Linked DNA regions of Caenorhabditis elegans. The protein of the gene in region 2 interacts with the protein of the main gene of each other region in a pairwise test. Each region holds a gene or a part of one and is shown on either strand. Other genes may lie near its edges.

Region 1 (4,544 bases), on a different chromosome or scaffold from region 2:
CAGCGTCATGGATCGCCGATAAGAATAAGAAGCCATTCGTGGACAGATCTCCGCAAAAATTCAAATTTCCCGCGAGCGGCAGCTATATGAAGCCGGCCAACTAGTGCTTGATATTCAAGCTTTAATTATTTTTCATCTGTGTCATCAAACCGTATTCTAGTTTACTTGTTAAGACCCGTTGGTCCGTATTTTTGTTTCTTTTTTTTAAATATTTCAGTTTACGAATCAACAAATAAAAATTATTCATTTTCAAGAATTTGTAAATACAGGAAATCGAGGAGAAGTTAAAAGCGAGAATCTTGGATCTATGAGAATGCAGTTCACAACAGCTTCATCAGTTTCGCAACAGTTTTCAATTCAAATTCGTTATTAACCTTACATCCAATCCTGGCTCACTTGTAAGCACTTTGGCTTGAATCTCTGCACCGATGTCAAAATCCGACAGCAAAATGTCGTCAACCAAACATTCTAGCTTACAGTTGTTAAGACCTGCTAGCCGGCATTGTTATTTATGTTTCAATTTTCCAACTAACAAAAGAAAAAGATTCATTCTCAAGTATTAGTACAGGAAATCTACGGAAAAGCGAGAAAGAACGACAGGAGAAAAAAAGGGGAATACGGATGAATCATTCGGGGAGAATAAGTTTTACACCAGGATCCAGAAATTGTGATAAAAAATAGTTAATTGAGCACAAATTTGCTCAACAAGACGTTGACCGGTTAAAATAATATAAAACATGTTGTAATTGTTCCAGATATTTAGATTGGTTTACAGGCTTCTGCGAGCCATTTCAGCTCATCCGTTTTTCCGCGTTTCTGAAGATGTTCACCAACTTCCTTCAGAACCCGAGCGTGGTATTGATTGAGCCAATTGATTTCCTCTTCAATCAGAAGAGACTTGTCGACGATCGAAGTTTGAATAGGCACCAAAGTGAGAGACTGAAATTAATAAGTTTATAAAGTTCCTGGGATCTGGGTATACCTTGAATGTCAAGAAGTTCTGAGCTTTAGACATGACAACAGCTTCAACTGTTTCGTAACAGTTTTCAATTCGAATTCCGTACTTCTCCTTGGCATAGAATCCTGGCTCAATGGTAAGCACTTGGCTGGCATGAAGCTCTCCACCGGTTGGAACACTACGATGACCGATTCCGACTGAAAATAAATATTCAAACAGTTACATTTACTGTTTTCGTCTTACTCGGTCCTTCGTGTACGTTAAGGTAGTGTCCAACACCGTGTCCAGTACCATGTTCAAAATCGAGACCAAGCTTCCATAAAGCATCACGAGTCAGCGTGTCCAAACGAGAACCATAGATACCATCAGGGAACTTGGCCCGTGCCAAATTAATGTGTCCCTTCAATACAAGAGTATTGTGCAGAATGAACTCTTTCGGTGGGTTCGTGTACCACACAGTTCTCGTCACATCGGTTGTTCCATCTCCATAATGAGCTCCAGAATCGAGGAGGAACACCTGATTGGCTGCAGCCTTACGATTGCCACTTTCTCCGAGAGGCTTGTAATGGGGAAGTGCTGCGTGATCTCCGACAGCTGATATGGTATCAAAACTGAAAATAAATATAAATTAAATGTAGTTTTAAATATTTAACAAACGAACCTCAAAGTAACATATTTGTCTTGAAGACTTCTCAAATGGTCTATCTTATCAGCTAACTCGATTTCAGTGTATCTTTTTCCAGAGAGCAACTCCTTTTCGAGCCAGCAAAGGAACTCAACAAGAGCAGCACTATCACGAAGCTAGAAAGAATTAAATTATATCCTAAACGATGCTGTAGCCATTCTTACATGACTGTTTCTCATTCCTTGCATTTCATGATCGTTTTTGGTGGCCTTGGCGGTCTGAAAAAGATTAAATTTCAAAAATTTCAAGAAATTCATGGAATTACCTGAACCAGGGAAGTGTCAACCATCGAGTTCTCTTCGCCAATAATGCTTCCAATAGCGTAATTAGTTTCTGGTGTGAGATAAACCATGTGAGGCTCTTTGCTCGCTTCTTTTGCCTTGAGCCAATTGGATATCCATGAATAGACTTCTCCGTATGGATGAATCGATACATTCGATTTGTGGAAATGGGCTCGAGATTTCTCATCGAGTTTCTCATTGTCGATAAATACGTGAATCTCGCGCATTGCCACGAAGAGATATGAATATGCAAGAGGATTGTACGGGATATCACTTCCTCTAATGTTCAGAAGCCACATAACATCATCAAGAAGAGTAAATACAGCTGCGTCGCACTTTTTTTGTTTCAGCTTCTCCCGAAGATTCTCGACTTTTTTTGAAGTTGTAAGACCAGTGTCTTCAACATCGAGCACGACTACCTGAAAAGTGGAACATTAAATCCCGCAGTATAGATCTATCAACTTACTGGCTCACCAGCGAGTCTTGGCCGATCAGTCCAGAACTCGTCGACTAGATTTCCAGGAATCGAGACTGGTTGAAGACCTGCTGCCTTCAGACGTTTAAATGTCTTGGAACCAGCGTCGAACGTCGACAGAGTTGGATCAAATCCAATAACGGATCCACGCTCGAGCTCTCTCACAAGCCAATCAACGACAGTAATCGAATCGGGCTGTCCTTGTTTCATCAATTTCCAGCTGTTGGAATCAAGCTGATTCCCGGCTTGAGTGAAATATCGGCCATCAGTCCAAAGGAGAGCTTCTCTATCGGTAACAACAACGTAGGCATTGGAACCACTGAAACCAGACAGGAATTTCACTCGAAAATCGTAATCGGCTAGATATTCGCTCTGAAAATTAACATTTAGAAGATTATTTGAAGCCTAAAAACCAACATGATGAGCGTCAGTGCTTGGGAGAAGATACGCGACCATCGGCTTGCTGGAAGTGAGCGCGAGAACCCGTTCCGAATGGAACAAGGATCTCAATTTTGCGAGTTTTTCCAATGCTGTCATCACTCCAATTCTGCCCGATCTGAAAAAAAAAGAAAATTAAAGCTAAACTTGTAAAGAGAAATTTAAAAACCAAGCGTCTAATCGTCTGCACATTTTTCTCGAATTTTAGAGCTGATAACGAATAAAACCAACGACGAAATTGTCGATCAATCGTTTTAATACGCAATCACAAATGGTTTTATACATACAGAAATCAAAAATCATCTCTGAATTCTATTGAATGAAAACAACAGAGGATGTGGAAATTTTTTGAGAAGAAAACTGAAAAATAACTATTTTTGAAGTCTAAAAATGTTTTAAAATGAAAAATTAACTGCCGAATCGAGAACGAACGCTGTTCCAAAAAATGAGAAGAGTATCTACGGACTCGAGATCTCTAGACTCAAGAAGTGGAAACTTGGAAAACCGCAAAGGAAACGTTTTGAAATATCATTAAAAGACGAAAATTTCAATGAAAATGTTAATTTCACTGTGGATCATTTAAAATATTAACTTTATTCGTGTCCTGATACGAATTATCCACGCTTTTTTTCAGAAATTTTTATGACACGAGGTCTCACAGGCCTCTAATCGGTGGTGACTCGAAAGCTGAGAAGGCGCGCTCTATTGATGGGTCAAAAAAGGAGGAGATTTGAAAATGAGTTTCGCTCGAAATTCAGGTCTAGAATTTTAGAAAATAACCTTTAAAAAATACTCATAATAAATTTGTTGAACAAACTGTGAACAGCAAAACCCAAACTCGCATCGCGGTTTTTTATTTCCTCTCCAAAAATTTACGCGTGCGAAAATTAATGAATAATGAAAATTTCAGTCTGGAAATTCATTCTTTCGTATTCAAAAAAATTAAGAAAAAGAAAAATTGTTTTTTTTCAAAATCGTAATTTTTAGCACGATTACATCTGTCTGTGTGTCTACAAAATTAAAAAATAAAATTTATCAATGAAGCTCAAATGATTTCGGCGGCAAAATCTTCTTTCCAATACTTCTAGTGGATTTCGTGGAAACTGCAGACGACAGTTGTGTGCTCTCGAGTTTTCTTTTTTGAACCGTATTATCCTCCGGAACAATAAAATCTTCTTTGGCTCTTCGTGCCGCCCGTGCATTCTTCAGCAACTTCTCTTTATTCGCTTCTTCCTCTTTCTTCTTCCAGTTCTTTTCAATCTGTTCAATCTGAAAATTGGAAAATTTAATACGTCGAATAACGTATTCTATACCTTATGCGCCGATGGTGTTCTCGCAATATATCTCCTTTTCACTTTCTTACTGGTTTCAGATCGAGCAGATGGTGTCGCCGGCTTGGCTTCTTGTTTTCCCTGAATGTTTCAAATATATCTCTTGTCTACGGCACCTACCTACATGCCTATCTACCTGCCGCATGCCTGCCTAATAACGATTTATTATTAATATTGAGCTCCCCCATGCCTGCCTACGCGTTTGCATTAGAACTACACGCAACACACACTTACCTGATTCTCAGATCCCGTATGCCTATTCTGACCTCATACCTACCTGCCTAGGCGCACCTCAAAACTGCATTTCCTATGCCTGGCTTCATACATGCCTTCATTATTCATTCCCTGGTTCTAACTTAATGCCTGCCTGTCTACT
Region 2 (4,487 bases):
AAAGTTGATTGTAAGTATATAATACTTACCACCTAGACTCTTCTAATCGTCGATTCGGCTGCATTAGTTTCTTCTCTTAACTGGACAATTATTTGCCGCTAAACAAAATGGGCTTATCATATTAAGAAACAACAGATATTGAAATCAGATTACAGATTAAGTCACTTTACCATGAAAAAACGCAAAATTCTAAATAAATTCATTATTTCAAAAACGCGATTATTTAAAGCCAGAAATCAAAATAAACTGTTTGCCAGTTTGTTTCTTCGAGTCCGGATAGACTTCATCAATTGAATCCCACCATCCAGGTCCCCAGACTCTTCCAAAACTGTTGGCCGAGCGAATCGATACGTCCAGATCTTTTCCCATTAGTCCAACAAAACGAGAATTTTCGAGGTTTTCAGAGAGTTTTACAGGAACATCATTGTAATCTGGCTGCCTGAAAATTAACATTTTCTTAAATTTATCAAAACTTAAACTCCCGACTTGTTGAGTCCTTCCGCGCAAATAATTTTAACTTCATTTTCGATATTATCCTTGGCATTTTCTGTAGTTGATCTCCAATAATGACTACGGTAAATGACAATATTACTCTTTCCAGGATTATACGAAGTTATATATTGTTCAGCATTTCCATAAAAGGAATTACTTTCCGTTTCTCCCTTATTATCATAAACCATTATATAGAAGACATCGCTGAAAATGGGAAAATGAGAATAAGGCCAACGTTCAATTATTTTCCTCGACGCCTTCTTCCTAACGGTAGAGTAGGCGTAGGTAACATTCAGGCAAGCCTTGCCAGAAGTCTTTTTTAGTGTTTTTCAAACAACTCACGAAGTATTAAACCGCATGAGCTCCGTTTTAATTAAAACTGCCCTGTCATCATTTGTCACATGCATATCATTTTCAATCACATAATCCACAATTTTCTTCACATTTTGGGGCCAAATGTAGTCCATTTTCAGAGGTATTCCCGAAGCTGAAATAACTTTCAATACGATTTTCAAGAAAATGTTCAAACTTTACTTTCAACATTTTCTGTTTCAATCCATTTCTGAATAAAATATGTAAGCCCAAATGCGATTAATCCACACAGAAACAAACTTATTAGAATTAGAAGCAAACACTGTTTGGGAGAACTGAAATCCGATATATTTAGAATTTGGTACATACTCAAATATTGAAAAAAACCTTACTTTTCACAATCTGTAGTACGTCGGTTTTGAGACATCTTCACAGGACAATGTTTAATGTTTTTAAAACAACTTATATAGGTAGATGAAAGATAAGGAGGAACGTGTGACAAAGATAATCTTCAATTTCACACAACTTTTCAAACGGAAATTCCTTAAGAAATGAGGAATATCATCGAGAAGAGTGAACATAAGACAACTGTTCCACTGATAAAAATTTTTTAAACCGGTTTCAATGTTCGTTTCGTATCTGAAATACTTTCAACAACTTGATCTTTTAGTTGTTACTTCCCTTTCATTGGAGACAACTTTCGTTGACTTTATTGACTTATGCATCTCAGACATGAACGCACACAAGACCCCCTTTTTCGGCCTGCTTAGTATATACTACTATACAGTGGTTAGTACTCCACGTTGTGGCCGTGGCGACGCTGGTTCGATTCCAGCAGCAGGCAACTCTTTTACTCCAGCTTCATCTGACAAAATTACCATAAATCAGAACGAAAGTTGTCAATGACTAAAAAAAACGTTGACGAAGCGCTAATGTTTCCAGGTGACTGATTTTTGAGAAAAGAAGTTTTTTTTCGAAATGAAAGAAGCTGTCGATATATTTACCTTTAGTATTATAAAATTCTTAGAACCTTAATTTAGTATTATCTTCAGCTAATTATACATAATTTGTTGAGAAAGTACATCCCACGCGTTCTCATAAATTAATACATTCTCAGTAACATTTTCTATTAATTTCCTATAACATTCTCCCGGAACTATAGTGTCTAGAAAGCCTATAATCAATAATACCAGTCTAAAGAAACAATGACGCCTGTAACTTTTGCAAATATCAAAACTGTGATTCAATTTATTTCCGTTTTTATTTCAATATTCATCAATGCTCTCTCCATCTACCTTATCGTCACAAAATCTCCAAAAATCATGGGAACATATCGGCACTTGATGATTTATTTCTGCGGTTGCTCCATGGTCTTTTCTGTACTGGATGTGATTGTTCAACCGGTAATATCAATATTTTTGTTATATACTTTTGCAAAGATTTCACAAAAAGAAATGGTTTTTTTACCAAAATAACATAAAGTACAAAAATAGCAAACAAGTACAAAAATAGCACAAGCGGACATTGTCTTTGTTTAGAATTTGAAACGGGAAATTTTTTATAAAAATTTTGTAAACTAATAAATAATACGATTCACTTTTCAGTTAAGAATAAAATATGAAATGAAATGAAATTAATAAAATATCAAATCACCATCAATTTACCAAAATTTTCAGAGCATTGAAACCTACAAAAGTGCGTTCCTAATGGTTGTTGATGTCAAAAACCGATCTTTAAATTCCTGGTCAGCAGTATTATTTATGAGTAGGCTGACCAAATTCATTAAAACTGTTTAAAAATTTTTTTTCAGATCTTCTTTGCGGTTGTATCGGAGTCACTGTATATGGAATTGCTATTCATTTTATTTATCGGTTATTAGCGCTAGAAAGGTAATTACTTTGGCATTACTAAACTGCAACTGCATTGAATAACTGATTGATTAACTGCTAGGTGCAAATTTAAAATACTCTTATTAATATAATTATTTATGCTAGATAAAATTAGACAAATTTAGTAAATAACTGTTTCATAATTGTCTTAAAATATCCACACAATTGATAAAAATATTATTTGCGGCAAAACTCTATGTCAATTTCAGAAAAGGCCGACTCCGGTATTTCAATTGCCAATACCTACCCATTTGGTTTAGCATTCCGATTCTCGCTGGAACAATATGGTACATTGTGACTGAAAATATTTTTGGAATGAACCCAGTAAATACGGAGTATATCAGGTAGGAAAATGTTTTGCCTATGCCTACCTATCCCAGATGGTCTCCACTTCGAGAAGAAAAACATTAATTTATGTGCACTTTCGCAGTAGGTACTCGTTAGGTAGGTAGGCACGGAACATACCTAGATCATTTTTAAGTGTTTCATTTAAGATAGTTTTGAATGTTTCATGTTGTACATAAATACAACAATATTTATGATATTTACTGAATACATATCTCAATAGGCTTATTTTCATTAAATATTGTTCTAAGTGAGGGCTATTTTTTAGAAACCCCGTTAAAGACTCTTTCAACATGAAAATGGAGGATTGCGTGTACGGTGCAGCTGTATTCTATCCAATTGATAAAAATGGTATCAAAACTATCAGTTGGATCTCATTTTTTGGATTAGGGTGTTACTTAACACTTCTAACAATTCCATTTATTTCAATCTTGGTTGCTGGAGCAAAAAGTTGGAATCATGTTCAAAAACTGCTCGAACATGGAGAATCCGAGTTTGCCAGGAATTTGCAGATGCAATTGTACAAGGCCTTAATAGCTCAGGTTAGACAAACTGAATGTTTATAAAGTTTTCCAAACTATTTCCAGACTCTTATCCCAGTGGTATTCTTCTTCACACCATTTGGTTGTGTATTTGTACTTCCTGCATTTGAAATTGAATGTCAATTTATGTCAGCTCCCATCACATTGGTTTTTGCAATTTATCCCGCAATCGATCCTTTACCCAATTTGTTTTTTGTGGACTACTACAGGAATCCTATATCAAGTTGGTTTTCAAAAATATTGAATTGTTATAATTTATAGAAATTAACTTAATCTTCAGATTTTCTCCGCAAAGTTTGGTGCAGAAAGCCTAAAGTCGAAGCCGCGACAATTAATTCTACATTGTGAATATTTTAAAAAGTACTGTTTTAATAAAATTTTGTTTTAAATATTCATCTAATAATTATTGATGATCCCTATGAACACGGCTGTGAGACTGATAGTGAAAATACAAAAACTTTGTGAAATTAGCAAATATACCTAGCAAACACTGACATGAAGACATGGAAAATGACATGGAGACAATGTAATAGTCTATTTCAGCAAAGTTTATTTAAGGTTTTGAAACAGTAAAGTTTTTCCACGAAGCTGTGTTTTCAAAGTGTTTTTCAATCCGCGTTTTTCGGTGATTTTTTGCTTGTGGCAGTGGGTTGAATACATCACTGATATTCAATTTTTTTATTCTAAAAATTCTGGTATTTATGTAGAGCTTAAGTTTCTCCTACCGCAAAGAAAAGAACCGCATAATTTGTTTGAATTTCCGTAATGTCAGTTAATTAATGCGAATAATTACTTACCTTTGTACTCAGTATAATAAAGTACCATAATAGTTGAGCTTTATTCAATCAATCTGCATATCAACTTTCAAAAATTTCACAAAAAATTTGGAACGCTTCACGAATTTGCG

Evidence for each region. Proteins that work in one complex are often made in the same cells at the same time.
Region 1: the proteins of str-173 (region 2) and app-1 interact in a two-hybrid assay, tested with the Caenorhabditis elegans proteins (one large-scale study listed by BioGRID).

Annotation. Positions count from the first base shown.
Region 1 is NC_003279.8:4,964,135-4,968,678, forward strand, and holds app-1 (Xaa-Pro aminopeptidase app-1), read right to left. Parts: upstream 2,956-4,544; 5' UTR 2,937-2,955; coding exon 2,817-2,936; intron 2,772-2,816; coding exon 2,391-2,771; intron 2,344-2,390; coding exon 1,909-2,343; intron 1,862-1,908; coding exon 1,808-1,861; intron 1,760-1,807; coding exon 1,620-1,759; intron 1,570-1,619; coding exon 1,202-1,569; intron 1,156-1,201; coding exon 983-1,155; intron 940-982; coding exon 760-939; 3' UTR 533-759; downstream 1-532. Other genes in the region: Protein pid-4, read left to right, coding at 1-104; W03G9.5 (Protein kinase domain-containing protein), read right to left, coding at 3,873-4,106, 4,151-4,249. UniProt on the Caenorhabditis elegans protein: Catalyzes the removal of a penultimate prolyl residue from the N-termini of peptides, such as Arg-Pro-Pro. Has activity towards the flp-9 neuropeptide KPSFVRF-amide.
Region 2 is NC_003282.8:4,860,176-4,864,662, forward strand, and holds str-173 (Serpentine receptor class r-10), read left to right. Parts: upstream 1-1,597; 5' UTR 1,598-2,009; coding exon 2,010-2,207; intron 2,208-2,480; coding exon 2,481-2,568; intron 2,569-2,614; coding exon 2,615-2,693; intron 2,694-2,871; exon of another isoform or gene 2,872-2,895; intron 2,896-2,902; coding exon 2,903-3,037; intron 3,038-3,242; exon of another isoform or gene 3,243-3,263; intron 3,264-3,306; coding exon 3,307-3,580; intron 3,581-3,625; coding exon 3,626-3,803; intron 3,804-3,860; coding exon 3,861-3,928; 3' UTR 3,929-3,974; downstream 3,975-4,487. Other genes in the region: Y17G9A.4 (Peptidase_M15_4 domain-containing protein), read right to left, coding at 220-439, 487-696, 835-979, 1,027-1,139, 1,197-1,231.